4 linked regions of the Anolis sagrei genome follow. Each later gene encodes a partner of the first gene's protein in a complex. Links are inferred from orthologs where the notes say so. Each region holds a gene or a part of one and is shown in the gene's direction. Other genes may lie near its edges. The genes, in order: EIF4A3, ALYREF, UPF3B and CASC3.

Region 1 (7,611 bases):
CCCTGGATAGGAGCAACTCTGGATCCCTAAAACAAGCACTGTATTCTTGTAAAGATGGGATATTCTATAAAATATCCTATAGGTGGCCTGTCCTATAAGGTCTCTGCAGTGGGGCAACCCTGAACCCCCAAAGCAAACACAGTATTCTTGTAATGGTGGGATATTCTATAAAATAGCCTATGTAATGGTGGGATATTCTATAAAATAGCCTATATGTGGGCCGTTCTATAGGGTCCCTGCATAGGAGCAACCCTGGACCCCTAAAGTAAGCACAGTATTATTGTAAAGGTGGGATATTCTATACTATAGGTGGTCTGTCCTATAGGGTCCCCTACATAGGAGCAACCCTGAACCCCTAAAGCAAGCACAATGTTCTTGTAAAGGTGGGATATTCTATACTATAGGTGGTCTGCCCTATAGAGTCCCTGCATAGGAGCAACCCTGAACCCCTAAAGTAAGTACAATACTCAATGTGGAAGTGAGACATCTTAAAAATATCCTGCATAGGAGCAACCTGAACTCCTAAAGCAAGTACAGTACTCTTGTAAAGGTGGGATATTTTATACTATATCCTATAGGTGGTTTGTCCTATAGGACCCTGCATAGATGCAAGCCTGAACCCCTAAAGCAAGCACAGTATTCTTGTAAAAGTAGGATATTCTATATTATATCATATAGGTGGGCTGTCCTTTAGGGCACCTGCATAGGAGTAACCCTGGACCCCTAAAACAAGAACAGTATTCCTTTAAAGGTGGATATTATATACTAAATCCTATAGGTAGGTGTCCTATAGGGCCCCTGAATAGGAGCAACCCTGAACCCCTAAAGCAATACAATACTCAACATAAAAGTGAGATATCTTCAAGATATCCTGCATAGGAGTAACCTTGAACCCCTAAAGCAAGCACAATATTCTTGTAAAAATGGGACATTCTATATTATATCCTATAGGTGGGCTGTCCTATAGGGTACCTGGATGGGAGCAACCCTGAACCCCCAAAGCAAGTACAATACTCAAGGTGGAAGTGAGATACCTTCAAGATATTCTGCATAGGAGTAACCCTGAACCCCTAAAGCAAGCACAATATTCTTGTAAAAATGGGACATTCTATATTATATCCTATAGGTGGGCTGTCCTATAGGTTACCTGAATAGGAGCAACCCTGAACCCCTAAAGCAAGCGCAATACTCAAGGTGGAAGTGAGATATCTTCAAGATATCCTGCATAGGAGCAACCCTGAACCCCAAAAGCCAGCACAGCACTCACCTCTGCCCTCCTCCCACTTGTTGCTTTGACTCTCAGAGCAGAAACTGCAGCAGCAGGAGCAGCATCTCCAGGGAAAGGGAAGCCAAGCCTTGCTCCAGAGGCTCTCCTCCGCCTCCTTTGTGTCCCTCCGAAGCCCAAAGCGGCGTGCTTTGCCGGGGCTTCTCCCTCCAGGGGTGGAGGCCCCTCCCCGGGGCTGGACCGGGCTAAGCAGGCCGCCCCCCGTCCTCAGACCACCCTCCTCCTCCTGCCTGCCTCCCTTCCTCCTCCTCCTCCTGGCATTGGCTGCTGTTGCTTCTTCCTCTTGAGTCCCTGGCTGCAGCTGCACTGTGGGATTAATGCATGCAGCTTGGCACCTCTTGACCTGCATTGGCTCAAGGCTATGGGATCATGGGAGCTGTAGTTTGGCAAGGCACCAGCACTCTTGGCCAGAGGAGGCTGGAGACCTTGTGAAACTACAATTCCCACAATCCCATAGCATTGAGCCAGGGCAGTTGAAATGGTATCAAACTGTATTCTTTCTATAGTGTAAATATACCCACCATCAGGTGCTTTGCATCTTACTTCAAGGCTGGGAAAATAGGGGGAAAGCAACAACCACAACAACAACAACAACAACAAAGGCTCAGAAATAGAATCATAGAATCCTAGAGTTGGAAGAGACCTCATGGGCCATCCAGTCCAACCCCCTGCCAAGAAGCAGGAATACTGCATTCAAAGCACCCCTGACAGATGGCCATCCAGCCTCTGTTTAAAAGCTTCCAAAGGAGGAGCCTCCACCACACTCTGGGGCAGAGAGTTCCACTGCTGAACGGCTCTCACAGTCAGGAAGTTCTTCCTCATGTTCAGATGGAATCTCCTTTCTTGTAGTTTGAAGCCATTGTTCTGCGTCCTAGTCTCCAAGGAAGCAGAAAACAAGCTTGCTCCCTCCTCCCTGACTGCACTGACCATGTCATGTAAGATAACCAATTGCAGAGAAGGGAACCAATAGAATGAGCAGGAACTAGGCAGTGCTTCTTGTAGGTCAGAGAATGGTCCAGAGTGACTCCCAGGTATTATTTATTTATTTATTTACAGCTTTTATATTCCGCCCTTCTCACCCCGCAGGGGACTCAGGGCGAATTACAGTGTACACATACATGGCAAACATTCATTGCCAATTTTTGACATACAAACATATACAGACATACACAGAGGCTATTTAACTTTTTCTGGCCACCAGGGGAGCTGTCGCTTTCATTGTCCATCTGCGACACTGATGAAGTACTTCCGCATTCCTCGCATGCTTCCCCGCTGGAATGCTTTGCTGGAGTCTTCTTTATGGCCTCATAAATTAGTTAATTTAGCCTCCCCACACTTTAATGTGGTACCTAATTTTCCCACTTGACAGATACAACTGTCTTTCGGGTTGCAAAGGTCGACAACAGGCTACACACAATTGGTTGGAAAACCCACTCCAACCTGGGCTAGCTTCGAACTCATGACCTTTTGGTCAGAGTGATCTTTAATGCAGCTGACACTCAGCCAGCTGCGCCACAATCCCGGTATTTGGGTGTGCTGCAGTGCTCCAGTGGGATTCCTTCCCTGGTAATCCTCAGAGCTCGAAATGCTTGTCTGTTCTTAAGGTGAAAAGCACATGTCTGCATTTTAGATGGATTAGGAATCAGCTGGTTTTCCCTGTAATAGGTAGTAAGGCCACCTAAAGCTTTGGAGAGCTTCTGTTCAACGATTTCACAGCTCCCTGCTTGGGTGGTGATGGCATGATCGTCAGCATAGATGAAACTCTCTGTCCCTTCTAAACAGTATAATTTCTCCAGTGGTGTAGGGCGTAGACATCCTGTGATAATGCGGCATGTGTCCTTAAGAGCCACATCCACTGTTTTAACGTGATGGGATGTGTTCCACACTGGGCATAAGGAAAGGAAAGGGCCTGAGGTTGTTAGGAACTGTGGGAGTTGAAGTTCAAAACAACTCCCATGCCTGTTGTAGATGGACAGCACTGATCATGCTCTCATAATCTGAGGATTCGACCCTAGAATCATAGAATCAAGAGTTGGAAGAGACCTCATGGGCCATCCAGTCCAACCCCCTGCCAAGAAGCAGGAATGTTGCATTCAAATCACCCCTGACAGATGGCCATCCATCCTCTGTTTAAAAGCTTCCAAAGAAGGAGCCTCCACCACACTCTGGGGCAGAGAGTTCCACTGCTGAACGGCTCTCACAGTCAGGAAATTCTTCCTCGTGTTCAGATGGAATCTCCTCTCTTGTAGTTTGAAGCCATTGTTCCGCGTCCTATTCTCCAAGGAAGCAGAAAACAAGCTTGTTCCCTCCTCCCTGTGGCTTCCTCTCACATATTTATACATGGCTATCATATCTCCTCTCAGCCTTCTCTTCTTCAGGCTAAACATGCCCAGCTCCTTAAGCCGCTCCTCATAGGGCTTGTTCTCACCCTGACTCTGGAGATGTGAGTTCGAATCCTAGCTTAGCCACAGAAATCCAAGTCACACTCTCTCAGCCCCAGAGATAGGCAAAGGCAAACTTCGGACTTCAACTCCCAGAAGGCTCTCACATCGTGGCCAACACCCAGGAATTCTGGGAGATGAAGTCTCAGACAAAAGAATCCCTGCTTGTTGTGACTCTTATCAAAAACATATCTCTATGGGCAGAAGCGAACGTCGGTAAGCGTATGTTTAGGGCGAGAGTCACTGAGAAAGCTTTACTGCGCACGCGCAACTGTCTCCTGTATCTATAACCTTTACAAAGCGCGAACGTTGCAAAATCAGAGATGGAAGCATTAACGCGCATGCGTGAAGTCTAGTCCCGTTACTGACTCTATTGGGAGGAGTGAACGTTTGCTGACGTCATGGAGACAGGGTGAGGAAGGGCAAACTTCGGACTTCAACTCCCAGAAGTCTCCCACATCGTGGCCAACACTCAGGAATTCTGGGAGATGAAGTCCCAGACAAAAGAATCCCTCCTTGTTGTGACTCTATAAGTTATATCTCTATGGGCGGAAGCGAACGTCGCTAAGCGTCTTTTAGGGCGAGCGTCACTGAGAAAGCGTTAATGCGCATGCGCAAGTGTCTCTTTTATTTTTTACAAAGCGCGAGCGTTGCTAAATCAGATAGAAGCATTAACGCGCATGCGTGAAGCCTAGTCCCGTTACTGACTCTATTGGGAGGAGTGAACGTTTGCTGACGTCATTGAGACAGGGTGAGGAAGGGTTAGAGCGCATGCGTAAGTGATTGTTTGAGGCTGAGCGTTGGAGCGCATGCGTAAACTTCTCGTCTCTTTAGCGTCTGTTGGGACTCTCTGGAAAGGAGCGAACATTGGGTGGACGTATGTTTTACGTCGTGCGTCACCATCTACGTCATGGAGTAGAGCTGAGGGCGCATGCGCGGTTCAGTTGCGGCCTAGCCGGCGGTGTTGCGGATCTCCTCACGTTCTCACGCGCGGCCTTCGGAGCCTCTGAGGGAGAAACGCGTGCAGGGAAGCGGCGGGAGGCACGACTCGGCCGGGAAGGATGTCGGGGACGACGGGAGGTACGGCGGGCTCTGCTCGGAAGCGGCTGCTGAAGGAGGAAGACATGACGAAGGTGGAGTTCGAGACCAGCGAAGAGGTGGACGTCACCCCCACCTTCGACACCATGGGCCTGCGCGAGGACCTCCTCCGAGGCATCTACGCCTACGGTGAGCCGGGAGGGACAAGATTCTCATTCTGTCTCGCATTATAACCATCTATACAAACATAACAACAATAACACAGTCTACCGTTATATATTATTATATATTATCAGTAGTAACTATTATATTTAATATATTAGTATTGCTATATTACAGTAGGGCGGCATATAAATGTCATAAATGTTCATGTTTTGGGGTTTGATCTGTAAGTGGAAAGGGATGCTAAATGAATTTTAAATGGCTTTTCTAGGCTTTGAGAAACCTTCAGCTATCCAGCAGAGAGCAATCAAACAGATCATTAAAGGAAGAGACGTAATTGCACAGTAAGTACAGATTATTTAATTATTTAAACATTTATATTCCGCCCTTCTCACGTCGCAGGGGACTCAGAGCAGAGCACAACATATATACGGCAAATATTCAATGCTGGGATATAAAACCATAAATATATACAAACATTAAAGTCACTTATATTCAGATTAAAAGTTGCTTAAAAACCATCTCAGGACACCATTTTGCCTCATTTCACTGCCCCAAAGGCTTGGTCCCACAGCCAAGTCTTCACAATCCTTCTAAAGGACAGGAGGGAGGGGGCTGATCTAATATTGCCAGGAAGGGAGTTCCATAACTGGGGGGCAATCACTGAGAAGGCCCTGACTCTTGTCCCTACCAAACATGCCTTTGGTGGTGGCGGGACCAAGAGCAGGGCCTCCCCAGAAGATCTTAGTTTCTGCAGTGGTTCATAAAGGGAGATCTGTTCAGACAGGTAAACTGGGCCAGGGCCATTTAGGGCTTTATAGGCTAAAGCCAGCACTTTGAATTGTCCCAGTAGCAAACGGGCAGCCAGTGGAGCTGATGTAACATGGGAGTTGTGTGCTCCCTGTATGCCACCCCAGTTATTAACCTGGCTGCCTCTCATTGGACTGTTTGAAGCTTCCGAATCGCGTTCAAAGGCAACCCCATGTAGAGCGCGTTGCAGTAGTCTATCTTGGATGTAATGAGAATGTGAACCACCATGGACAAGTAATGTATATGGAAGTAAAATGAGGTCACTTTGGAATATTGCCATATTGACTATAAGAAAGTAAACGATTCTTGATGTTGTGTTTTACACCTTTGATGCCAATGACTACAGCAAATTTGTCAGATTAAATCCACCTCAGTTCAGTGGTCCTTGTTTAGTGTAAAATGTGACAGTGAATGTATCTTCTTGTCAACCATTGTATCTGTTTATGTTGAATCTTTTATTATATGACATGAAATCACAGTCACATTTAGCCACAGATCTAAATTAACTTGCAATATTCCTTTTATTCTATGACACCATTGAGTCTAAGATGCACACTAATTTCAGTACCACCATTTTCACCCAACTATATATATATATATATATATATATATATATAATATATAATCCCAACCATTGTAAGAAACACCACAGTTTTAGAGATGTTTATACAAGAGGAGAAGCAGGTCTTAGAAATGAAGAAATATAGTTCTATTTCCAGCTACAGTATCCCCATTAAAGCCATGGGTAATCAAGTAAGTCAGCACTTTGTATAGACTGATAATCCTTGATGAGAATGCATATTCTTTCCACAGCAGGAATGCCCTTGCTTTTCACACAAGAACCGAAAACTTAAGCCTTTTCTCCTCACCTGCAGGACAAGATTTTTTTTCTTGTGATTTTTGAATTTCTAGTTGATTTTTTTGTAATTGGCATAATTAGTTCAAATAACAAAGCTAAATGTAAATATTTAAATCAATATCAACAAAGCTGCCTTTTTCGTGAACTAAAAATCAGAGGGATCAAATCAAATATCAGCTTTGAACTATGAGGGTTAAAGTGGTATCAAACTGCATTCATTCCACAGTGTAGATCCATTCCACTCTAAAACCTTATCTGCCTTTTTGCTATTTAGATTTTAAATAACCACCTTGACCTACCTGGGTTGCTGTTTATTTTTTGTATTATTACAATTGTATTATTTCTGTGCAGTCAGTTGACCACATTTGCTGGGATTTAGAGGTACAGGGTCTCTTTTTGGATTTACTTCAACTCCCGCAATTCCTAACAGCCAGTTGTTAGGATGTGTCTTAATTTATACCTGTACTGTCTCTTTTTAGAAAGTATTTGAAGGCTAGACATCAGTATCTTAGTTTGCGAAGAGTTCAGAGGAAAATCATAGACCTTTTAATTCTACATTGTACAACTGCAGATGCTTGAGACACAGCGGATGATACCACGTGTTTGTATATTATTAACTTGTACAGTTTTATTATACTCTCCAAAGTAGACCATAACTTAAATTTGATTGTTAAACATAGGTTTTATTTGTAGAAGTTTCAGTTTCGAGAACTATTTCAATGTCATGATTGTGGAAGTAATCCTATATATATGAGTTGCCTGAGGGCTGAGAAGGGTGGTATACAAATACAGTAAATAAATAAATATAATGACAAAGGAATATATCTCATTGAGCTCAGTGGGAGCTGCTTCTGAAAAGACGTATAAATACTGTACTATAAAAGCCTAAATTAACCCCCCAAGTTCACTGTTAAAATGTTATTTTTAGCCATGAATTAATTAGAACGAAAATACTCTTAGTCCCCCATCTTTAATGCAGAATAATGAGCTACCAATATACTTTACATAATTCTTGG
Region 2 (7,760 bases), on another chromosome or scaffold:
TAGCGTTTCAGACAATCCACCAAGACACAAGCTTACAAAAGGGGCCCAGGTAATATCTAGCATACATGAAAATAACATCATGATATGTTCTTGTTCAATATGCTGACCTTCTCACAAATATATATTTCCTACACGATATAGACACAGTTCATGACCATTTAAAACCACAATCCTGGACAGAATAAAGACAGAAAAACCTGAATGGTAGACAGGATAATAATGTTAAGAAAATGTAACTAGAAAGAGAGCATCCAGTTCCTGCACTTCTTTTGATTCAGTCTGTGGGAAGGCTTAGGATATACAATACAATACAATACAATACAATACAATACGAGCAAGTAAAGTCTCCAGGCTTGAGGAAGAGCTAGGAAGGATGAATCTCCATGAAGCTATAAGAAGAGGATGTGAAATCCGTAAGGAGGGAGAAATCTTGACCTGGTTATTCTTTGAACTTCCACTCCTGTCGGCACATTGGACAGTGCTGCTGGACTTGCTGGGAGTTAAGCCACTTGAGAATGCAGTGCATGTGGAAGCAGTGGGAACACTGACCCCACACCAGCGGGCAGTCATCTCCAGGCACCTTACCTGCAAAACACAAGAGTTACTAGGGCAAAGCTGGGAAAAGACAGTGTATATCGATCAAGAAAAATGTCAGTGGGCAGATAGTCCCAATACTCACAATCTGGGCAGCAGCCATTGAAGGCCATCCGGCAAATGCCACAATTCTCATCATTGGCAACCCAGAGCCAAGAGGCAACTCCATGCCAGCTCTTGATTTTCACTTTCATTGTGTTCAACTAAATACCACACTTAGATCAACCTAGTTTAGCACCTGAAGGGAGGAGAGAAAAAACCAATGGAAATCACTGTTTCTAAAATGGGAATCAGAGTTTCTAGAAATCAAAGTCTCTGTTTCCTAGCAAGATTGGAGCTGGAATGCAATTTAAAAACTATTTAACCTATTTAACCTTTCCACCAGGGTAGCAATAGATGGCATTATAAATTATATTAATATTCGTCTTACAATGTATATGCAGTCCAGGAGGTATGTTAAGCTTGTGCCTTCTTTAGGGATGATGCAGGACAGACTACAACCAAATTCCAGATTAGGACAGGATGGAAGCAGAGATTTTTGAGACATTAAAGCAAAGTAATATATATTAATTCTTACCTATGATTACATTGTTTTTATAGTATAACCATTACAGCAGATGAATACCAAGGTCCTAATGCCCAGCATAACTATACAAAAGCATTGCAGAAGAACAGCAGCATTAAGACATTGCAAAGCTGGGTACATTATTAATATTGAACTCAACAAAATTTGAAGTAGTTGGGTAGGAATCATATCCCATGTGGGTAGAATTCAAAGGCATGACTGCATTAGTCTAGAATACCAGTATGCAAAGGGATCTTGCAGTACCTTAGAGGCAAAATGAGACAACAAAACTGATAACATAACCTTTCCAAGATCAAGTCTATTTTGTCAGTAGCTCGCCACAGAGTTTGTGGGCATGGTGCTAAAATGACCAGTTCAGTGTTAATGATGTCACTGAGGAACAAAGGGAGTCGAGAAGATGTTGCCTAAAGGCAAGATAAGTAGATAAGCATATGAATGGTGGAGGGAGTTCTTGGACTGTCCTGTACCTGTTTTGCATTTCTATGGCTATTCACACATTCTGTGTATAAAGATCTCTTTACCCTAGGGATAAATAGGAATGTCTGGTGCTAACCCACCTGATAAACATGTATGTACTGAAACACAATCATTTTTTTTATACTATAATTAACTATTTGATATTGCTGTTTACAATATAAATAAACTGACACAGAACTTCTAGGACCATAAACTTTTATCACATAGATTTTATGAATTTTTCCCAAGCACTTCAGTCCATGCATCTGAGAAATCGGACGAATTATGAAAGTTTAAGCTACTAGCGTCATTCTTTCAGTCTCTAAGTGCCACAAGACCCCTTTGCATACTGTTAAGACTGCAATAGTTCCTATCGCAGCCCTTGAAAGGAAGAAAAGCAAAAGATATCCATATTTTGCAGGATATTCTCAACTGAGTCTTATTTAATTTATATGTTGCCTTTCTTATAAATAAATAAATAAATAAACCAATAATAAAACATTAAAACAATTTAAACTATCATGTTAAAGCAGTACATAATTATTGAAAGCACATATCAAAAATAAAGCATTCTTCCCCGTGGGCAATTACATATTATCAGATTAATATTTTAAACACTGTATTTTCAGTTACCAGCTCCCCGTATCTTGCCATCTTCTTTTAAACAGCTTGTAAGAAGTAAACCCTAGGTAGCTGAAGAACTAGGGACTTCAGCACACTAGAGCATCTATCAACCTTAAATCCAGTTTCTGCCTCCTGCAGAATTCTGGGTTTGTAGTTTAGAGAGTGGCCTTTAAAAAGCTCATCCAGAGAGGTCTTGGAACTCACTAAACTACAAACCCCAGAATTTTGCAGGAGGGAACAACTGGATTTAAAGTGGATAGATGCTCTAGTGTACGCTTGGGCAAACTTCAGCCCTCCAGGTGTTCTGGACTCCAACTCCCACAATTCCTAACAGCTTACTAGCTGTTCGGACTTGTGGGAGTTAGAGTCCAAAACACCTGGAGCACCCAAGTTTGCCCATGTTTGCTCTATTGTGATGAAGTAGCTGCTTTTGTAACAGTGACCTAAAATTAATGGTTGGCTCAAACTATAGCAGGCTCTTTGCACTATCTGTGTGTCTGTATACACACAACACTTCAAGCTGATCATTGACTGATTGCGTTATTGTAGGTTTTTTGGGCTATATGGCCATGTTCTAGAGGCATTCTCTCCTGACATTTCGCCTGCATCTATGGCAAGCATCCTTGTGAGGTCCTCACAACCTCTGAGGATGCTTGCCATAGGCGAAACATCAGGAAAGATGCCTCTAGAACAGGGATCCTCAAACTTTTTAAACAGAGGGCCAGGTCACAGTCCCTAAAACTGTTGGAGGGCTGGATTATAATTTGAAAATAACATGAATTCCTATGCATGCTGCACATATCTTATTTGTAGTGCAAAAAACACTTTAAAGCAATACAATATTTAAAATGAAGAACAATTTTAACAAATGTAAACTTATTAGTATTTCAATGGGAAGTGTGGGCCTGCTTTTGGCTGAGATAGGATTGCTGTTGTTATAGCCTAAAGCAAGGGTCCTCAAACTAAGGCCCGAGGGCCGGATGCGGCCCTCCAAGGTCATTTACCCGGCCCTCGCTCAGGGTCAACCTAAGTCTGAAATGACTTGAAAGCACACAACAACAATCCTATGTCATCACCCAAAAGGAGGCCCACACTTCCCATTGGAATACTATTAAGTTTATATTTGTTAAAATTGGTTTTTGTTTTAATTATTGTATTGTTTTAAAGTGGTTTTTGCACTACAAATAAGATATGTGCAGTGTGCATAGGAATTCATTCATATATTTTTTTCAAATTATAATCGGGCCCTCCAACAGTTTGACGGACTGTGACCTGGCCCTCTTTTTAAAAAGTTTGAGGACCCCTAGCCTAAAGCATCTGATATTTGGTGGCTGTCTCCCATCTAGGAGCTATGCAGTTTTCAAGATCAGGCAGACCTTGGCACCTTTACAACTGTTAGGCGCACACTGACTGCTGCGTAGTCAATTGGCATGAATCTATAAAAGTAAAGGTTTCCCTTGACATTAAGCCTAGTTGTGTCCGACTCTGGGGGTTGGTGCTCATCTCCATTTCTAAGTTGAAGAGCCAGTGTTGTCCATAGATACCTCCAAGGTCATGTGGCCAGCATGACTCCATGGAGTGCTGTTACCTTCCTGCCGGAGCTGTACCTATTGATCTACCCACATTTGCATGTTTTCAAACTGCTAGGTTGGCAGGAGCTGGACTTACAGCGGGAGCTCACCCTGCTCCCCAGATTCGAACAGCCAATATTTAGGTTAGCAAGTTCAGCAGCTCAGCGGTTTAACCGGCTGCACCACCAGGGGCCCTGGCACCAATGTAATGGCTCTGCTCTCGTTGGAACTAGCAGCTTGGCCTGGGCAATGCTTCAGCGTTGGGCTATTATTACGTGCGGATCTCTTTACCAAAGAGCAGCCGCCAAACAACAGCAGCAGCCACAAGACTGTAGTCTGAGGTCTCCGTCTACACTGGCCATTTATTGCAGTTCCAAAGCGATTTTGCTGTGCAGTCAGATGGCTACATGAGAAATCCTGGAGCCAGTTTGAGGCCCAGAAAGTGCTGAAAGCCCTGAGGCACATTAAGGGCTTTGCATTCAAGGGAGTTTGTCGCCTGGTTGCCGAACTGTATGAAATGTTTAGTGCAGACGGGGCTTTGGGGGGAACAGCCCCCTCCCCTGCCCCGAGGCAGCATCCTCCTCCTCCTCCAACCTTCCCGCCTCCCTTCCCCTTACCGGAAGTCCCGCCCCCAAGGGCTCTCCCATAGTTCCTCGCGCACCCAAGCCCTTAAAACCGAGCGCGAGAGGCCCCTTGGCGCACTTCTTTCAGCGGAGGAGCCCGGCACGAGCGCAAGCGCGCCCACCCACCGCGCTCTTCCCTTCCTTTCTTTCCCGCCTCCTTCTCCTTCTTCTTCCTCCTCAGCCAGGCTCCTTCTTTTTCTCCTTCGCCGCCCTTCCCTCTGTATCCCCGCCTCATCCGTTTCCGGTCCCCTCGCGCAGCGCGGCCGGAAGCGTAGGCCCCAGGAGCCGGAGGGAGCCGCCATCATGGGCGACAAAATGGACATGTCTCTGGACGATATTATCAAGCTCAACCGGAGCCAGCGAGGCGGAGGCGGGCGCGCCGGGCGAGGCCGGGGGCGAGGGGCCGCGGGGCGAGGCGGCGGAGGAGGCGGCGGCGGCGCGGGGCGAGGAGGCGGAGGCGCGGGGCGGGCAGGAGGCGGAGGCCCCATCCGGAACAGAGCCGCCTTGTCCCGGGGAGGCGGCAGGAACAGGCCGGCGCCCTACAGCCGGGTACGTTTCCGCCAGGCGTCTCCTGGGGGTCTGCCTTCGGGCTCATCTGGACTCTCACTGCATTCGCAACTCGTGATAGCACTTGGGCCTGCACCTGGGGGAGAAAACGCAGGGAAGCCTAGGCTTATACTATACGGCAGTGGTTCTCAACCTGTGGGTCCCCAGATGTTTTGGCCTTCAATTCCCAGAAATCCTAACAGCTGGTAAACTGGCTTGGATTTCTGGGAGTTGTAGGCCAAAACACCCGGGGACCCACAGGTTGAGAACCACTGCTCTAGGGGCTGTAGTCTGAAAATAAGGGGACATGAGACCTTAAGACAAGTGGTTTGCCACTTGTCGGTCCCCAGTATTTTGGCCTACAAGTCCCAGAAAGTTTACCAGCTGTTAGGATTTCTGGGAGTTGAAGGCCAAAACATCTGGGAAGCCACAGGTTGAGAACCAATGCCTTAAGATATGCTGATCAGTTACTGACTTGGGGTGCCCTTTCTTTCCAGCCCAAACAACTTCCAGAAAAGTGGCAACATGATCTCTTCGAAAGTGGCTTTGGTCCTGGCGCTGGTGTGGAGACAGGTGGAAAACTTCTGGTCTCTAATCTAGATTTTGGCGTGTCAGATGCGGACATACAGGTAGGTTTTCCCTTCATCTCTAATAATAGGTGGCCCAGTGTTGGAATTTGTTCTAACTCAGGCATGAGCAAACTTCATCCCTCCAGGTGTTTTGGACTCCAATTCCTAACAGCTGGTAGGCTGTTAGGAATTGTGGGAGTTGGAGTCCAAAACACCCGGAGGGCCGAAGTTTGCTCATGCCTGAGCTAGCTGATAAGGTTGTGTAATGGAGACCGCCTTTATTTTGGGCATCTTATTGCAAATTTCATCTGTGTGGACATGGGTGTTTTTTTATGATTGTGACAAATGTCTTAATGTTTGGAGAGAAGCAGAAATGTCTCTCTGTGAAATTATCAGCATTAATATTTATTTCCTTTGATAGTTTGGGATTGTTAGCAAACACATTGATATTCATAGGCTGTCTTGTTTTGTGTAGAGTACATATATGAACATTTTCTAAACAATTTCATAAGCTTAGTACTATAGTAGATATATCTGTTCTACACACTTCTTTTTGTAATCCTTGGGATATGTGGATCTCTATTGGATTATTTTTTTCTGTGCAGGGAAGTCTGAACCTAAGGCTAACCTATACAAAGACAGAAAATTATTAATTAAAAAATCATTAAAATTTTATTTCTAGTCTGTCCTATCTCCCTGAAAGGACTCAGGGCGATTTCTAATACAAAAGCAAATATTCAATGCCATATGCAACCATAAAAACACAGCACCATAAAATAACAATGAAACATGGCTAAAATGCATGCATAAAATAAACTCTATGAGGAGGGTAAACAATCAGGCTTTTTTGCAGGGAGAAAATTTTATCCTGTTGAACCACATTTCCCAGTACTGTTTATCCTTTGAAATAAAGCCAATGTTGTATCAGACAATAGGCAAACAAGAATATATTGTGGTTTGGTTGTAGGGTACAATGGCTTTTATGACTTCAGATGAACATATGCTCACACACTGGATTCATGAAGGCCAGACTTTTTGCCAATCTGCTCTTAAAACAGCATAAGGCAAAAGACACTTGCATGATTTGAGATTCAAACATGGCAATGGTTTATATAGTGTTATGCAAGATCACTTAACTTGTTTAGGAGTATGTAGCTTAAGCAGGGTAAGCCGCTTCAAATGCCCAAGAAGCAGTTCTCCACCACAGTGGGCTCCACTACAGAAAGTACAGCAGGGAACTTGTTTTCCATAATTATTCTTCTGATTTTATTTGTAGTGGGGCTATGAGGAATGCAACCACTCCACTTTATTTTGTGGCTGAGGCACCTTGGTGGAGGTCTCATCAACATTGCCTCCTCAGGAGATCTTCTGCCCTACATTTCTTGCATTTTTCCTTGAGTTCTGGGGTTAATTTAAGTAGAAAATGAGGCAAAGTTAATGCAAGATCTGATTTGTAGTTGTAGTAAAATGGCAAATGTGAGAGTGAAAGAGTTTACTGCTTTAATGGGTAATCTTTTTAGAAAGACCTGAATACTTTGCCAAATCCTCCTGGTTGAGATAACTTCCTACTTTTACCATATCATTTTCAGGAACTTTTTGCAGAATTTGGTACATTGAAGAAGGCAGCAGTACACTATGACCGATCTGGGCGTAGTCTAGGTACTGCAGATGTTCATTTTGAGAGGAAGGCAGATGCTCTGAAGGCTATGAAACAGTACAATGGAGTTCCCCTGGATGGTACGTGCTTAACTGTCTATCTTGATATTTACACAGTGGAATAAGAGATAAGCTAGCCTTGAATTTAAGTATTTCTCTGGTAGCTACAAATAACAAGGAAATGTGTTTGGAGTGTGTATGTATTATTCTATGTAAGAGGGTGGCAAAGGAAGAATGGAGAATCTGTTTTTTTTGGCATAGAAACCAAGAAGACAGTTTAAAATGGTATGGTCCTGAGAAGCTTCCAACCCTTGGTTCTTGAAAGAAGTATTTTAGCATTATTTTACAGACTAGTAAGGTTTTTGGACTAATAACCCTTGTGATGCATATCCTTTTTATTTTTAGGACGTCCCATGAATATCCAACTGGTTACATCACAAATAGATACACAGAGGAGACCAATACAGAGGTAGGAGATTTAATCTTTATTGATGATGATGATAATAATAATAAGTTTGTTCTTTTATACCGCCAC
Region 3 (7,437 bases), on another chromosome or scaffold:
AATAAATAAGAGGATTTTATCTGCTTCCCATTCATCTGATCAGGCTACTCCTTCAGACAGACTGCTCCGAAAAGAGGAAAACCATCATTGAAACGGAACGGAAAGCAAAATGGAAAAGTGTAAAAATGGTAATCTCTTAAGAATAATGTTTTACAAAAAAAGGGTTCTGAGAATTTTATCTGATAACATTTCATAATAGCAACAACAATAATCTTAATAATAATCTCAGGCTCTGATAATTTCATCTGATGACATTTAATAATAATAATAATATTTTAATAATAATCTCAGACTATGAGAATTTTATCTAATAACATTTAATCATCACCATCATTTTATCTTAGTAATAATCTCAGGATTTGAGAATATTATCTGATGACATATAATAGTAATGAGGTACAAAGCCAGTCTTCAGAAATGGGGCCACAAAGTCCACGACATGCGAGTGTGGAGGAGAGCAAACCACTGACCACCTATTACAATCCAGCTTGAGCCCTGCCACATACACAATGGAGGACCTTCTTATAGCAACACCAGAGGCATTCCAAGTGGTCAGCTACTGGTCAAAGGACATTTAGCATAATGCCAAGTGTTGCAAACTTTGTGTTTTTAAATACGAGTTGAGTACCCTCAGCTCATTTCTAAAACAATAAATAAATAGTAACAACAACAACAATTTTATCTTAGAAATAATATCAGGTTCTGAGAATTTTATCTGATAACATTTCATAATCATAATTACTGTTATTGTGGCTAGTGGCTCAAGGCGGGTCACAGCACAGTCAAAACACACAAACATTGCGAACATTCTTTAAACGCACATATTAAAATCAAGTTATATAAAATATATAAATATATATTTCTATAAAATACACAAAACAGAGACAAGAGTTTCAAATTCATGCTTAAAACTGGCTAGAAGAGAGAGGTTTTTAGATTGTTTTGTACTATTCAATGCTCCTCTAGGTATTGTTTATTGCATTCATTCTTTTTCAAAAACAGAGGCTAAAAACCCTCTGTCACTAAATACGAAGACTATGAAGTTTAGACAGAACTCCTCTCTGCAACCAAGGCAAACATGTGGCGTTTTAATGTTTCTTTTCATTATCTACCTTGGACTCGAAGTAACGGTCGGTTCCAGAAACCCTCCTGTCTCTTTCCATCAAGTGCCATTGGTAGGTGTTCCGGGCAATGCGCTTCTCCTGGGACACACAAAAGGGTTGGGAAAAACAAGTCAAAATCAAGGAGAAAAGGGATAAAATGTATAAGCGTATAATCCAACATAAAAAGGGGAAAAAACCCCAGACAACTGGAATAGAGGATGGTAGATGCAGCCCTTTTCTTTGGGTTAGAAGCACGAGAGAAGGCTAAAGACCTTGCAAAATGACAACCCCCACAATTCGAATCATATCAAGACAGGGTATCAAACTTGTATTCATTCTACAGTTTAGATCCACCATATTATAATTATTGTGTATTTATGGTTGAAGCCTGAATATTGTGTATTTATTTATATCCAACATTTACATTAGGATAATTATTATGTATTTATTTATATTTATTTATATCCCGTATTTATCATTATTATGCACTAGCTGTCCCCAGCCATGCATTGCTGTGGCTCAGTCTGTGTTTTGTGTGTGTATATATCTGTGTATATATTTGTGTATATGTGTGCTTGCCTATATATATGTGGTTTTGCACATGCCTTGTAATGTATTTTTTGTTTTTGAGCCTTTTATGTCCCTTCCGCTGTGTTTTCCAGTGTTTTTATGAGTGATGGTCACGTTGGCCTGATAGGTGTTTTGCGTCCAAATTTGGTCTCAATTCCTTCTGTGGTTCTTGAAATATATTAATCCCACAAATGAACATTACATATTTATTTATACAGATTTATGGTTGAAGGCTGAATATTGTGTATTTATTTATATCTAACATTTACATTATAATTATGATGTATTTATGTATATCCCACAACAATTTTGTTGTTGTTCATTTGTTCAGTTGCTTCAGACTCTTTGTGACCTCATGGACCATCCCATGCCAGAGCACCCTGTCGGCCGTCACCACCCCCAGCTCCTTCAAAGTTAAGCCCGTGAATTCAAGGATACCATCCACCCGCCTTGCCCTTGGTTGGCCCCTCTTCCTTTTTTCTTCCATTTCCCCCAGCATCATTATCTTCTCTAAGCTTTCCTTTCTTCTCATGATGTGGTTGTGCTGTCGCACGCTGGGCCTGTGCATAAGGCTGTAGACAGGACATAAATTCTGAGTGCCCAACGGGATGCCGGGGCTGCCTCAGATTAAAGGCCCTTGGATTTCCTTAAAACAAAGTTCTGTAGAGACTTAAAGTAAGTCCAACAAAGTTCTTTATTGATTAAAACAAACAGGTACTTTAAAGCTTTTTTTAACGGTCTATAGGCTCTTTCAATCTTGTCCATAGGGAACAGGCACTATCTTCATAACTGTATACTAACTAATGGGGAAATCCTTAACTTCTAATCTGGGCAGTCTGTCTTTGCCTCTGTTGGCGTGGAGCCCCTGCACCCGGTACCAACTGCGTCTGGCTTCCACGAGCGACCCTTACCAAGCAGAGCTTTGTAGACTTCCAGGGGAAAAGAAGGAGTTCAGGTTGCTGTGTTGGCTGGCTGAAATCCCTCCGCAAAGGAGCTGTAACTTTGCAAAATCCTCAGCCAAGCTGTGGGCCTTTTCTCCCCGGCCAAGCTGTAGGCTGTATATCTCCCCGGCCAAGCTGTAGAAGACGAAGCTTTCTACAGGAGCTCTTGATATTATGTCCTGCATGGAAGCTTCTCTGTGTGGACTGACCCAAAAAGGCTCCTATTCCCTCCAAAACTCAAAAAGGGGCGCGACCAGGGAACCGAACTATAATTGACAGGTGGCTTGCCCTATGATTGCAGCCAAAAGAAGCCACCTATCTGCAGAGTCCCTGAAACTTATGACTATAACAAACATTCAGTGCAAAGGAAACTGGTACAGCTGTACGTGTACAGTGGCCAAGGGACTTTTAAATGACCGTTAAATCATTATGTACTAATATATTATTATTATAATATATTATTATATATTAATATAATATCACATATTAATATATTATTATTATAATATTATGTACTAATACATTGCATGTATATTATTATTATGTATTTCTTTATACCCCACAATTACATTATGATGTATTTATGCATATCCTGCATTATGATTATTATTTTGTATTTATGCCTATTCCATATATCTATTCTCCATCCTGTATTTACTCACATCCCTCATTATTATGTATTTCTCTATTACTCTGACTCCTCCCTGCCTGCCTCCCTCCCCTCCATTCTGTCCCAGAATTCCCCGGGAGGTTTCCAGGGCGGCCCAAGCGGGACAGACGCGCGATAGCGTGGCGGTGTGGCTGACCTTGCCCCCGTTGGTGTACTTGTGGATGAAGGTGGTGGAGAAGCCCGGGATGGTCAGGCAGACGTACATCACCGTCAGGCTGGGAAGGATCTCGTACCACATCGTCTTCTCCTCAGGAATGCAAGGGCAGAAAAAGCTTCTCTCCCTCTCTTCCGTCCTGGCGTCACTTCCGCTGGTGTCGCTATGGGGATACAGGAGAGAAACGTCTCTCGCGGCCAATGGGAGTGAGCGGGAGGCGGGGCCGAGGGAGAGCGGCACTGCTCAGGCGCAAACTTTCCTCCCTCCGCTACTGTGGGTATGGGGATACAGGAGAGAGACATCTCTCGCGGCCAATGGGAGGGAGCGGGAGGCGGGACTGAGAGAGGGTGGCATTGCGCAGGCGCAAACTTTCCTCCCTCTGCTACTGAGGGTATGGGGATAGAAGAGAGAGACATCTCTCGCGGCCAATGAGAGTGAGCGGGAGGCGGAGCTGAGGGAGGGCGGCACTACGCAGGCGCAAACTTTCCTCCCTCCTCTGCTGTCGCTATGGGGATAGAGGAGATAGACATCCTTCGCGGCCAATGGGAGTGAGCGGGAGGCGGGGCTGAGGGAGAGCGGCACTGCGCAGGCGCAAACTTTCCTCGCTCTGCTACTGTCGGTATGGGGATAGAAGAGAGAGACATCTCTCGCGGCCAATGGGAGTGACCGGGAGGCGGAGCTGAGGTAGGGCTGCACTGCGCAAGCGCAAACTTTCCTCCCTCCTCTGCTGTCACTCTGGGGATAGAGGAGAGAGACATTTCTCGCGGCCAATGGGAGTGAGAGGGAGGCGGGGCTGAGGGAGTGCGGCACTGCGCAGGCGCCACTTTCTCTCCACCTCCTTGTGACGGAGGGAGGAGGGTTTTGTGACTTACCAAAAGGCAGGGCGGAACTGCGCAGGCGCAGGCTTTCCTCCCTCCCTTCCCCCTCCCCCGCCGCTGCTGTTGCTATGGAGATGGAAAAACCGTTGCGGCCTTCCGCGGCGACGTCACTTCCTCAGCTCTGTTGCCATGGGGATGAGGGAAGAGGCTCTCGCGAGAGGAGCGGCGGCCAATGGGCGAGCGGGACGGAGCGGAAGACGGGCGAGCGGGGCCTTGTTGTTGGCTCTGGCTGGCGCGGCGTTGAGGATGAAGGAAGGCAAGGAGAACGCCAGGCCCAAAGAGAAGCGGGGCGGCGCCGCCTCCTCCTCCGGAGCGGGAGCCCTGGCGGTGGGCGGGGGCGCGGACGCCAAGGCCGGAGGGGAGCCCGACAGCAGGCCCCGGGACAAGAAGGAGCTCCTCAGCAAGGTGAAGGGAGGAGAATATAGTCATTCTATAACAAATGTGTCTTATATAGGATGTAAGAGGAATATAAATATAATAAGAATAGATATGCAGTAATAGAATGAGAATGATAAGAAGAGAAATAGAATTAACCTATAACAAATGTGTTTTCTATAGATTATAAGAAGAATAGATATGTAATAACAGAATAGGAATGATACAAGAAATAGACTAAGAATTGCCTCAACCTATAATAAATGTATTTATGTAGAATATAATAGGAATAGAAATATAATAATAGAATAAGAATGATAAGAAGAGATGTAGAATAAGAATATACTCAAGCTATTATAAATGTATTTATGTAGAATATAATAGGAATGGAAATATAATAATAGAATAAGAAGAGATATAGAATAAGAATATACTCAAGCTATAATAAATGTGTTTATATAGAATACAATAGGAATAGAAATATAATAAGAATAGATAAGTAGTAGTAGAATAAGAATGATAAGAGAATAAGAATATGCTCAAGCTATAATAAATGTGTTTTATATATATTATAATAAGAATAGATATGTAATAATAGAATAGGAATGATAAGAAGATAAATAGAATAAGAATATATTCAAGCTATAATAAATGTGTATATATAGAATGTAATAGGAACAGAAATATAATAAGAACAGATAAGTAGTAATAGAATAAGAATGATAAGATAAATAGAATAAGAATATGTTCAAGCTATCATGAATGTGTTTTATATAGAATATGAGAAGAATAGAAATATAATAATAGATATGTAAAAATAGAATAAGAATAAGAAGAGAAATAAAATAAGAATATTGTCAACCTATAACAAATGTGTTTTATATAGAATATAATAAGAAAAGAAATATGATAAGACTAGATATGTAGTAATGGAATAAGAATGAAAAGAGGAGAAATAGAATAAGAATATAGTTCATCTGTAATAAATGTATTTTATATAGAATATAATAAGAACAGAAATATAATAATAGAATAAGAATGATAAGAAGAGAAATAGAATGGGAATGTAGGTAATCTATAATAACTGTGTTTTATACAGAATACAATAAAAACAGAAATATAGTAAGAATAGATATGTAATAATAGAATAAGAACATAAGAGAAATAGAATAAGAATATAGTTAACCTATAACAAATGTGTTTTATATAGAATATAATAAGAATAAAATTATAGTAAGAATGGTAAGGAGTAAAATAGAATAAGAATATTCTATAATAATGTGTTTTATATAGACTATAATAAGAAAAGAAATATAAGAATATATCATAATCAACCTATAATAAATGTGATTTATCTATAATGAGTCCCCTTCAGGTGAGAAGAGTGACATAAATGTTGTAAATTAATAAATAATAAACTATAATAATAATAGAAATTGAATAAGAACATACTCAACATACTCAATATAATAAATTTGTTTTATGTATACTGTAATAAGAGAAATATAAGAATACAGTCAATATATAATAACCATAGATATATAGTAAAAAATAAGAATAAAAATATAGTAAGAACATTATAATCAAAAATATAATAAGACTAGAAATATAATATTAAGAATATGATAATAAAAATATAAATATAAGAATACATATTTTGTTACCCAGAGTATAGCAAAGTCAATAACCTATGAACATAACTTTTATATAATAAAATATAAAGAGAAAAAAGACATAATTATGAAAATGTACACCGCACACAGGGTTCAAAATCAACATAAAGCAGCAAGGGAATGTCAGTCAAACCTCATGATAGAAAGTTGGCTGGGTCGGCCTTCTACCGGAAGAGATGGATTTTCAATTCGGGCTTACATTCCAACAGTTTTTATGGGAGAACCAGTTAGGAAATGCCCCAACCCAGGAACGACAATTGTGTTACATAGTGTTGTTTGGAACAATTTATTTGACAAATTAAGGTGTTTGTAAAAACCGACACTTCCTCTTGCAGGTGGTGATTCGCCGCCTCCCTCCCAGCCTAACCAAGGAGCAGCTTGAAGAACATCTCCAGCCTTTGCCGGAACACGACTACTTTGAGTTCTTTGCTAATGACACCAGGTGAGAGGGCCTTTCAAACTCTGCCCGTGTTGCATGTAACGGTGGCATGTCATTTATGTCTTTCAGTTTTACACCCGTCTTGTGTTTTGGTATATTTACAGTCATCACTCAGCGACGTTTCCTTATACATTGCCATTTTCTGTCCTTCTGCAGTTTGTACCCTCACATGTTTTCCAGAGCATACATCAACTTTAAAAACCAAGAAGACATAGTTCTGTTCAGGGATCGCTTTGATGGTTATGTTTTTGTTGATCACAAAGGCAAGTATGCCTGAAACTTGGCTATGTATATCATATCTCTGTTTTGTCCAAATATATATTGGCATAAATTGGTGAAAATAATTCAGTCAATCCAGAGGCCCAGAAACGGGGTAGAATTGCCTGCATGGTCTGTGCCGAGCCAGTGTCATCCAGAATTTAATTTGAAAAATCCGATCATTGCTCATCTGAGATCGCATGCAAAGGGCTTTGGGTGGGGAGGAAATGTAGCCAGCTTCACAGCAAAGGATCCATATTAATGTGTGGTCCATTGTGTGGTGTAGCAACATCTGATTTTAGGAAATGTAATAAATAAGGAAGAGTGGGGATGACTTCTGCCCCATACAATGGACACCAAGACTTGCTTGATATGG
Region 4 (7,109 bases), on another chromosome or scaffold:
CTGCTTGTATGTTTAAACAAAATTGAAACAAATCAATTTTTTTTACAATAAAAAAGAATATTAATGTTTTTCTTATGTGTTGTGCCTCGTTTGACAGATGGTACAATTTTGACCAGCAGAATCTACTTCTGCTATTGGACAGAAAAGGTTACTGTAGTGGCTTTAAACTTAGTTAAATGTATAAATCAAGAGGAGTCTGAATAGTTGGATCAGAAGTCCTTGAAAGGTAGAAAGTAACAGTAGACCTGTATTTTTTTAAATGTAGTATCAAAATATATACAATAGAGTGACTCATTCCCAGCAGCAGCTCTGGAAATAGTATTGTATGTCATGCTTTGCCTAAAAAAGGAAAATTTACTTTCTGCAGTAGAAACGATACAGCCAATCATAGGAACATTTAAATGGAACAGGTTGAACTTGCAAATGAGAATGCCATCATTGCGGTTTTGCACAAGGGCCCTGTGTCTTTGAGACATGGTGGTTTTTGAGTCTAGAAAAGGCAGCCAGGACCATTTAAATTTGTGGGGTTTTTTTTGGGGGGGGGGGCAGGAAGCAGTATCTGTCCTCCCTTTCAACATTATTATAGCTAAGTTGGTTTAACAAAGCATACATACTGATATTATCAAAAGCAAAACAATAAAAGGAAAATTACAAGACTGGAAAAACAAAAAAGCGAAAGTGCATGAATTGGTTTTAGGCATACTTTTTAAAGAGTATTCTAAAATTGCGAGACTGCATGTGGCAAGGACAAATTCCATGTTGCAGATGTTTAGAAAAAAATAGTGCTGAACCTTGTCATAAACATCTATAGTGTAACATCATATAGAATATAGAATAAATTCTGCTTGTTTCATCTTAAACCCACAACACATCTAGAGCAGTAAAAGGCAAAATGTGGTAGCTGAATGTGTTGATCTTAGAGAAAGTCTATGGGGGTTTTCAGCATAGAAAAGAAAGGGGCATGACAGACACCATAAAATGATGCATGTTGTGAAAAAAGTGGACAGGAATAACGATGTTAGATATGCAGCTCTTCAGTGAAGCTGCCCGGTGGCGCAGTGGGTTAAAGCCCTGTGCCAACAGGACTGAAGACCAACAGGTCGCAGGTTCGAATCCGGGGAGAGGCGGATGAGCTCCCTCTATCAGCTCCAGCTCCTCATGCAGGGACATGAGAGAAGCCTTCCACAAGGATGATAAAACATCAAATCATCTGGGCGTCACCTGGGTAACGTCCTTGCAGACGGCCAGTTCTCTCACTACAGGAGTGGTCGCTCCTGACACGACCAAAAAAAAAAAAAAGTGAAGCTGTATTGATTCAAAACAGACAAAGGTACCCGATTCCTACAACTATGGCGTTAAAAGCACTGCCCTTATTCTACAGGGGTTTATGAATAGTACCTAAAGATGTTGGGTGTATCTACACCAGGGGTCCTCAAACTAAGGCCCCGGGGGGGGGGGGGGGGCGGATACGGCCCTCCAAGGTCATTTACCCAGCCCTCGCTCAGGGTCAACCTAAGTCTGGAACGACTTGAAAGCACACAACAACAACAACTACAATCCCATCCCATCCCATCAACCAAAAGCAGGCCCATACTTCCCATTGAAATACTAATAAGTTTATATTTGTTAAAATTGTTCTTAATTTTAATTATTGTATTGTTTTTAAGTGTTTTTTGCACTACAAATAAGATATGTGCAGTGTGCATAGGAATTCATTCATGTTTTTTTCAAATTATAATCTGGCCCTCAAGCAGTTTGAGAGACTGTGACCTGGCCCTGTTTAAAAAGTGTGAGGACCCCTGATCTGCACTCTAGTATTATTGCAGTTTGACACCACTTTGACTGCCATGCTCAATGCTATGGAATCATTGGAGATGTAACTATGCAAGGACTTAAGCCTTCTCTGCCCAATAGTGCTGCTGATTTTCCAATCTACAGCTCCCAGGATTCTGTAGCAAACTATATTAATTCTGCAGTGTAGATGCACCTGTTGATGGGCCTCCCATGTCCTTTGGTAGCATGCATTTGCTGGGAAAAGAAACACTGTCCTTGTGTCCTGACTCTGGACTTTTTATTAGCATCTGTTTAGATAGTGGGTAAACATGATACTGGACTGGGCTAGTCTTTGATGTGATCCAGCCAAGCTCCTTTTTATGTTCTAACTTTTATGATTAGACTTGGTTCATGTTAACCCAGTTGATAGACTATTTCAAAATTATACTGTTTTTGCATATCATTTTCAGTGCCAGGTTTCTCTTCATTTTTTTTCTTTTCTACAAGTGGCAACCGGTTTTTCCTAGGTAATGAGATTGGGTAGATAATAGGAAGGCGAATGGTTGTTATGGTTAATGTTAGTTGAGCCTTATAACCTAAGTCACTTTAAATAAACAAAAATATTGTTCCAGCATGCAGTATAACTGGGTTTGTATTTTCCACCAGCTTCCTGGACCTAGCATGCCACTGCAGGCTCACCCGCTTTTGCATTACAGGTTGGCCATCCCTTATCTGAAATTCTTGGGAAAAGTGTTTTGGGTTTTGGAACACCATTACTTGCATAATGAGATATCTTGGAGATGGGCCGCAAAATTTATGTGTGCTATGGCAGGCCATGGGGCAACTTCGGCCCTCCGGGTGTTTTGGACTTCAACTCCCACAGGAATTGTGGGAGTTGAAGTCCAAAACACCCAGAGGGCCGAAGTTGCCCCATAGCCTGCCTTAATATGCATAGCTTGAAGGTACATTTATCCAATATTTTTAATAATATTGTGCATGAAACAAAGCTTGGGTACCTTTTGCCACCAGAAAGCAAAGGTGTCAGTGGGTGCATCTACCCCAGGCATGGGCAAACTTTGGATGTTAGGAATTGTGGGAGTTGAAGTCCAAAACACCTGGAGGGCCGAGGTTGGCCCATGCCTGCCTTAAATGCATATCTTGAAGATTAATGTATTCAATTGTGCATGAAACAAAGTTTGGGTACATTTTGCCACCAGAAAGCAAAGGTGTCCGTGGGTGCATCTACACCAGGCATGGGCAAATTTTGGCCGGCTGTTAGGAATTGTGGGAGTTGAAGTCCAAAGCACCTAGAGGGCCGAAGTTGGCCCATGCCTGCCTTAAATGCATAGCTTGAAGGTTAATGTATTCAATTGTGCATGAAACAAAGTGTGGGTACATTTTGCCACCAGAAAGCAAAGGTGTCAGTGGGTGCATCTACACCAGGCATGGGCAAACTTTGGCCGGCTGTTAGGAATTGTGGGAGTTGAAGTCCAAAACACATGGAGGGCCGAAGTTAGCCTATGCCTGCCTTACATGCATAGCTTGAAGGTTAATGTATTCAATTGTGCATGAAACAAAGTTTGTGTACATTTTGCCACCAGAAAGCAAAGGTGTCAGTGAGTGCATCTACACCAGGCATGGGCAAACTTTGGCCAGCTGTTAGGAACTGTGGGAGCTGAAGTCCAAAACACTTGGAGGGCCGAAGTTTGCCCAAGCCTGATCTACACTGTGAGATCAATGCAGTTTGACACCCATTAATGACTATGGCTCAGTGTCAAAGAGCTCTGCCAACCTCATCAAACTACAAATCCCACAATTCCACAGCACTGAGCCCTGGGAATTAAAGCGGTATGGGTCTGCATTGATTCTACAGTGTCCATGCAGCCTTGCTTGAATTATTTTGGCTTTCGGAATTCTGGCTAAGGGCTGTGTCCAACCTGTTTTTCTCCATGCGGCCGGTTTACCCTTTTCATTCCCTCCGAAGCCTGTGCAACGCCCTGCCTCTACGCTTTCAGTCCTGCAGGATAAACAACAATGACATCACCGTCGCAGTGGGAAAGCGTCGAGGCAGTAGGGGGGGGAAGAGGGGGAGGTGTCAATCTTCGAGAAGCACGTGACCCTGTTGCCGAGGCGTCCTTCGGCCCGCCCACTGAAGAGCAGTTTGCCGTGACGTCATTGCTCCACAGCGCCTCCATTGGCCGCTGTCTTCCTTTCCTCCCCTTTTGTCTTTAATCCTATTTTTTGTTCTTCGCAAAGAATTCTGGGGGGAAGGGGAGGCATCGAAACGTGTCTCGCGCGCGCGCGCTGCGTGTCGGAAGTTGGGAGCTGGTGGGCGCGCGCCTTGCTCGTTACCCGTCATCCCTTTGGGCTCCGCCCCCTCCTCTTCCTCTTCCCTAACCGTTTCGCTTCTTGTTTCTTCTCGTCAAGATGGCGGACCGGAGGAGGCAGCGCGCTTCCCAGGACAGCAGTGAGGAGGACGAGTCGGACTCGCCGCCTGGGAGCGCGGCCCCTTCGCCGAGGGGCGCCCTCCGCCTCGGACTCGCCGGCTCCGCGGCCAACGCTAGCAATGCAGGCGGTGGAGGCACCGCGGTTGTTGTTACTGCCGTCGCCGCCACTGCTGTTCCTACCTCCGCCGGTCCTGAAAACGTGGAGGCGGCTCTGACGGCGGGAGGAAGCCCGGCCGACTCGGAGTGTGTGAGTACCTGGGCGGAGGAGAGGGAAGGCTCCGTGAGGGACTGGGCCTTGCACTAGGCCGCAGTTTGAAGCGCTCTGAGGTTTCAAGCCTCCTCAGGCCTTGGGGCTCTTCCACACAGCCAGATAACCCAGAATAATTATAATCATAATAATTTTGCTTCTTACCCACTCTCCTCATGGCTCAAGGCGGGTTGCAAAACAATTAAAACATATAAGCACAGCAAAACACTACAAATACACATACCACCATAAAAGTTACATACCAAAACATATCGCTGTGAAATATATATGGAAACAGACAAAACAAATTAAACAAAGGGCATGCATTAAAATTCAGGTTTATGTTTAAAGACTAGATAATAATAATAAGGTTTTTATTTATACCCACCCTAACTGTCCGAAGGGATTCAGGGCAGTTTTCATCAAAAGTGGCAAACATTTGATGCCATAATAAAACAAACAAATGAAATATATATGAAAACAGACAAAGGAAATTAAACAAAGGTCATGCATTAAAATTCAGGTTTAGGTTTAAAGACTAGGTAATAATAATGTTTTAGTAATAATAATGTAATAATCTGCTCTAGCTCCCCGAGAGGACTCCCATCAAAAGTGGCAAACATTTGATGCCATAATAAAACAAACAATAAATGAAATATATATGAAAACAGACAGAACAAATTAAACAAAGAGCATGCTTTAAAATTCAGGTTTATGTTTAAAGACTAGGTAATAGTAATAAGGTTTTATTTATACCCACCCTAGCTGTCCGAAGGGACTCAGGGCAGTGTTCATCAAAAGTGGCAAACATTTGATGCCATAATAAAACAAACAACAAATGAAATATATATGAAAACAGACAAAGCAAATTAAACAAATGGCATGCATTAAAATTCAGGTTTATGTTTAAAGACTAGGTAATAATAATAATAAGGTTTTATTTATAATAGTAGTAATAATAAAACTTTATACCCCGTCACCATCTCCCCAAGGGACTCGGAGCAGCTTACATGAGGCGAAGCCTAACAACACATCAAAAACAACAAGCAATAATAAAAACAACAAGCAATAAACAAAAAAACAATACAGTTAATATAACTCACAGGTAGACAATAACACATAAGAATTTAAAAATCTATGGCAGGGCCAGATGTAATAGTTAAAACTTTAAAAATAAATGCTGGACATGAACAGAGGATGTAACTAGTAGGGGAGTTTTAAACGAAAAGTAGAGAACAACCCAATGGGTAATTAAAGTGCTTCTCAGGGTACTTTGCAGGGGATTGTTTCCTTTATTCAGAGAAGGCACACTGGAACAGCCACGTTTTCAGGCTCCTCCTAAAGACTGCCAATGTGAGGGCTTGTCTGATATTCTTGGGGAGTGAGTTCTAGAGTGGGGGGGGGGGGGAAACCATGGAGAAGACCCTATCCCTCATCCCCAACAATCGCGCCTGCGAGGGAGTTGGGAGCGAGAGCAGGGTCTCCCCAGATGAACGAAGAGATCGTGTGGGTTTATACACAGAAATGCGGTCACCTGCCCTGGCTCCCTGAGGGGACTCAGGGAGGTTTCCATCAAAAGTGGCAAATATTCAATGCCACAATAAAACAAACAACAAATGAAATATATATGAAAACAGACAACAAATTAAAGGGCATGCATTAAAATTCAGGTTTATGTTTAAAGACTAGTTAGTAGTAGTAATAATAGTAATAATAATAATAATAATAATAATAATAATAATAAAGTTTTATTTATAACCTGCCCCAGCCCCTCGAGGGGCCTCAGGTTAGTTTCCATCAAAAGTGGCAAACATTCAGTGCCATAATAAAACAAAACAACAAATCAATCAACATAATAAATAAAACTTATGGCTAACCAATAATAACCAAAAAGTAAGAACTTAAATAAATGTAATACATCACATTTCACACATTTACCAGCAGCTAAAAGGCATTAAAATATTGGGTGGTTTACTGCAACCAACAGGGCTGAGGTAGCTTTCCAGTAGCTAAACGAGAGTACATAACTAAAATGTATTACTGATCCTTTCCATACGCTAAAGTGCATAAATAGGTTTTTAAGGAGCCCCCAGTGGCGCAGTGGGTTAAACCCGTGTATCAGTAGGACTGCTGACCAAAAGGTCAGCGGTTCGAATCCGGGGAGCTGAGTGAGCTTCCATCAGCTACAGCTTCTCAGATGGGGACATGAGAGAAGCCTCCCACAGTATGGTAAAACATCCTGGCGTCCCCTGGGCAACGTCCTTGCAGGCGGCCAATTCTCTCACACCAGAAGTGACTTGCACTTTCTCAAGTTGCTCCTGACATAAAAAGAAAAGAAGAAGCTTTGTAAAAGAGAGAATTTCTACTTCTTTGGGGAGGGATTTCCAGTGGTGGGGGGCGATCAAGGAGAAGGCCTTGTTTCTTGACCTGACCAACCATACTTGAGACGGGGGTAGGACCAAGAGCAGGCCTCCTCCATGGACCGCAATGCTTGTGGTGGTTTGTATATGGAGATGCAGTTTTTCAAATCATCTGGGCCCGAACCATTTAGGGCTTTATAGGTGATAACCAGCCCTTTATATTTCGCCAGGAATCAGACCTGCAGCCAGTGGAGCTGCTGTAGCATGGGAGTGGTTCTCCCT

Evidence for each region.
Region 2: EIF4A3 (region 1) and ALYREF share a complex: the UniProt entries of both Homo sapiens proteins name them as parts of the ALYREF/THOC4-EJC-RNA complex. The link is inferred for Anolis sagrei from reciprocal best matches to the Homo sapiens genes EIF4A3 and ALYREF.
Region 3: EIF4A3 (region 1) and UPF3B share a complex: the UniProt entries of both Homo sapiens proteins name them as parts of the mRNA splicing-dependent exon junction complex. The link is inferred for Anolis sagrei from reciprocal best matches to the Homo sapiens genes EIF4A3 and UPF3B.
Region 4: the proteins of EIF4A3 (region 1) and CASC3 are in contact, whole or in part, in a crystal structure (PDB 2J0U), measured with the Homo sapiens proteins. The link is inferred for Anolis sagrei from reciprocal best matches to the Homo sapiens genes EIF4A3 and CASC3. Residues at the interface, in NP_055555.1 of Homo sapiens: Thr178, Arg179, Lys198, Ile201, Tyr202, Tyr205, Arg206, Tyr207, Leu208, Pro209, Pro210, Thr212, Lys231, Phe232; in NP_031385.2 of Homo sapiens: Arg217, Trp218, Glu219, His220, Asp221, Lys222, Phe223, Glu225.

Annotation. Positions count from the first base shown.
Region 1 is NC_090021.1:21,907,413-21,915,023, forward strand, and holds the start of EIF4A3 (eukaryotic initiation factor 4A-III), read left to right. Parts: upstream 1-4,591; 5' UTR 4,592-4,787; coding exon 4,788-4,953; intron 4,954-5,197; coding exon 5,198-5,270; intron 5,271-7,611. UniProt on the Homo sapiens protein: ATP-dependent RNA helicase. Involved in pre-mRNA splicing as component of the spliceosome. Core component of the splicing-dependent multiprotein exon junction complex (EJC) deposited at splice junctions on mRNAs.
Region 2 is NC_090022.1:113,659,379-113,667,138, reverse strand, and holds the start of ALYREF (THO complex subunit 4), read left to right. Parts: upstream 1-4,747; 5' UTR 4,748-4,757; coding exon 4,758-5,003; intron 5,004-5,497; coding exon 5,498-5,629; intron 5,630-7,158; coding exon 7,159-7,306; intron 7,307-7,630; coding exon 7,631-7,694; intron 7,695-7,760. Other genes in the region: ANAPC11 (anaphase-promoting complex subunit 11), read right to left, coding at 440-585, 680-788. UniProt on the Homo sapiens protein: Functions as an mRNA export adapter; component of the transcription/export (TREX) complex which is thought to couple mRNA transcription, processing and nuclear export, and specifically associates with spliced mRNA and not with unspliced pre-mRNA.
Region 3 is NC_090030.1:3,214,482-3,221,918, reverse strand, and holds the start of UPF3B (regulator of nonsense transcripts 3B), read left to right. Parts: upstream 1-4,430; 5' UTR 4,431-4,445; coding exon 4,446-4,721; intron 4,722-6,699; coding exon 6,700-6,806; intron 6,807-6,959; coding exon 6,960-7,066; intron 7,067-7,437. Other genes in the region: NDUFA1 (NADH dehydrogenase [ubiquinone] 1 alpha subcomplex subunit 1), read right to left, coding at 1,113-1,202, 3,421-3,522. UniProt on the Homo sapiens protein: Involved in nonsense-mediated decay (NMD) of mRNAs containing premature stop codons by associating with the nuclear exon junction complex (EJC) and serving as link between the EJC core and NMD machinery.
Region 4 is NC_090026.1:40,429,085-40,436,193, reverse strand, and holds the start of CASC3 (protein CASC3), read left to right. Parts: upstream 1-4,088; 5' UTR 4,089-4,200; coding exon 4,201-4,467; intron 4,468-7,109. UniProt on the Homo sapiens protein: Required for pre-mRNA splicing as component of the spliceosome. Core component of the splicing-dependent multiprotein exon junction complex (EJC) deposited at splice junctions on mRNAs.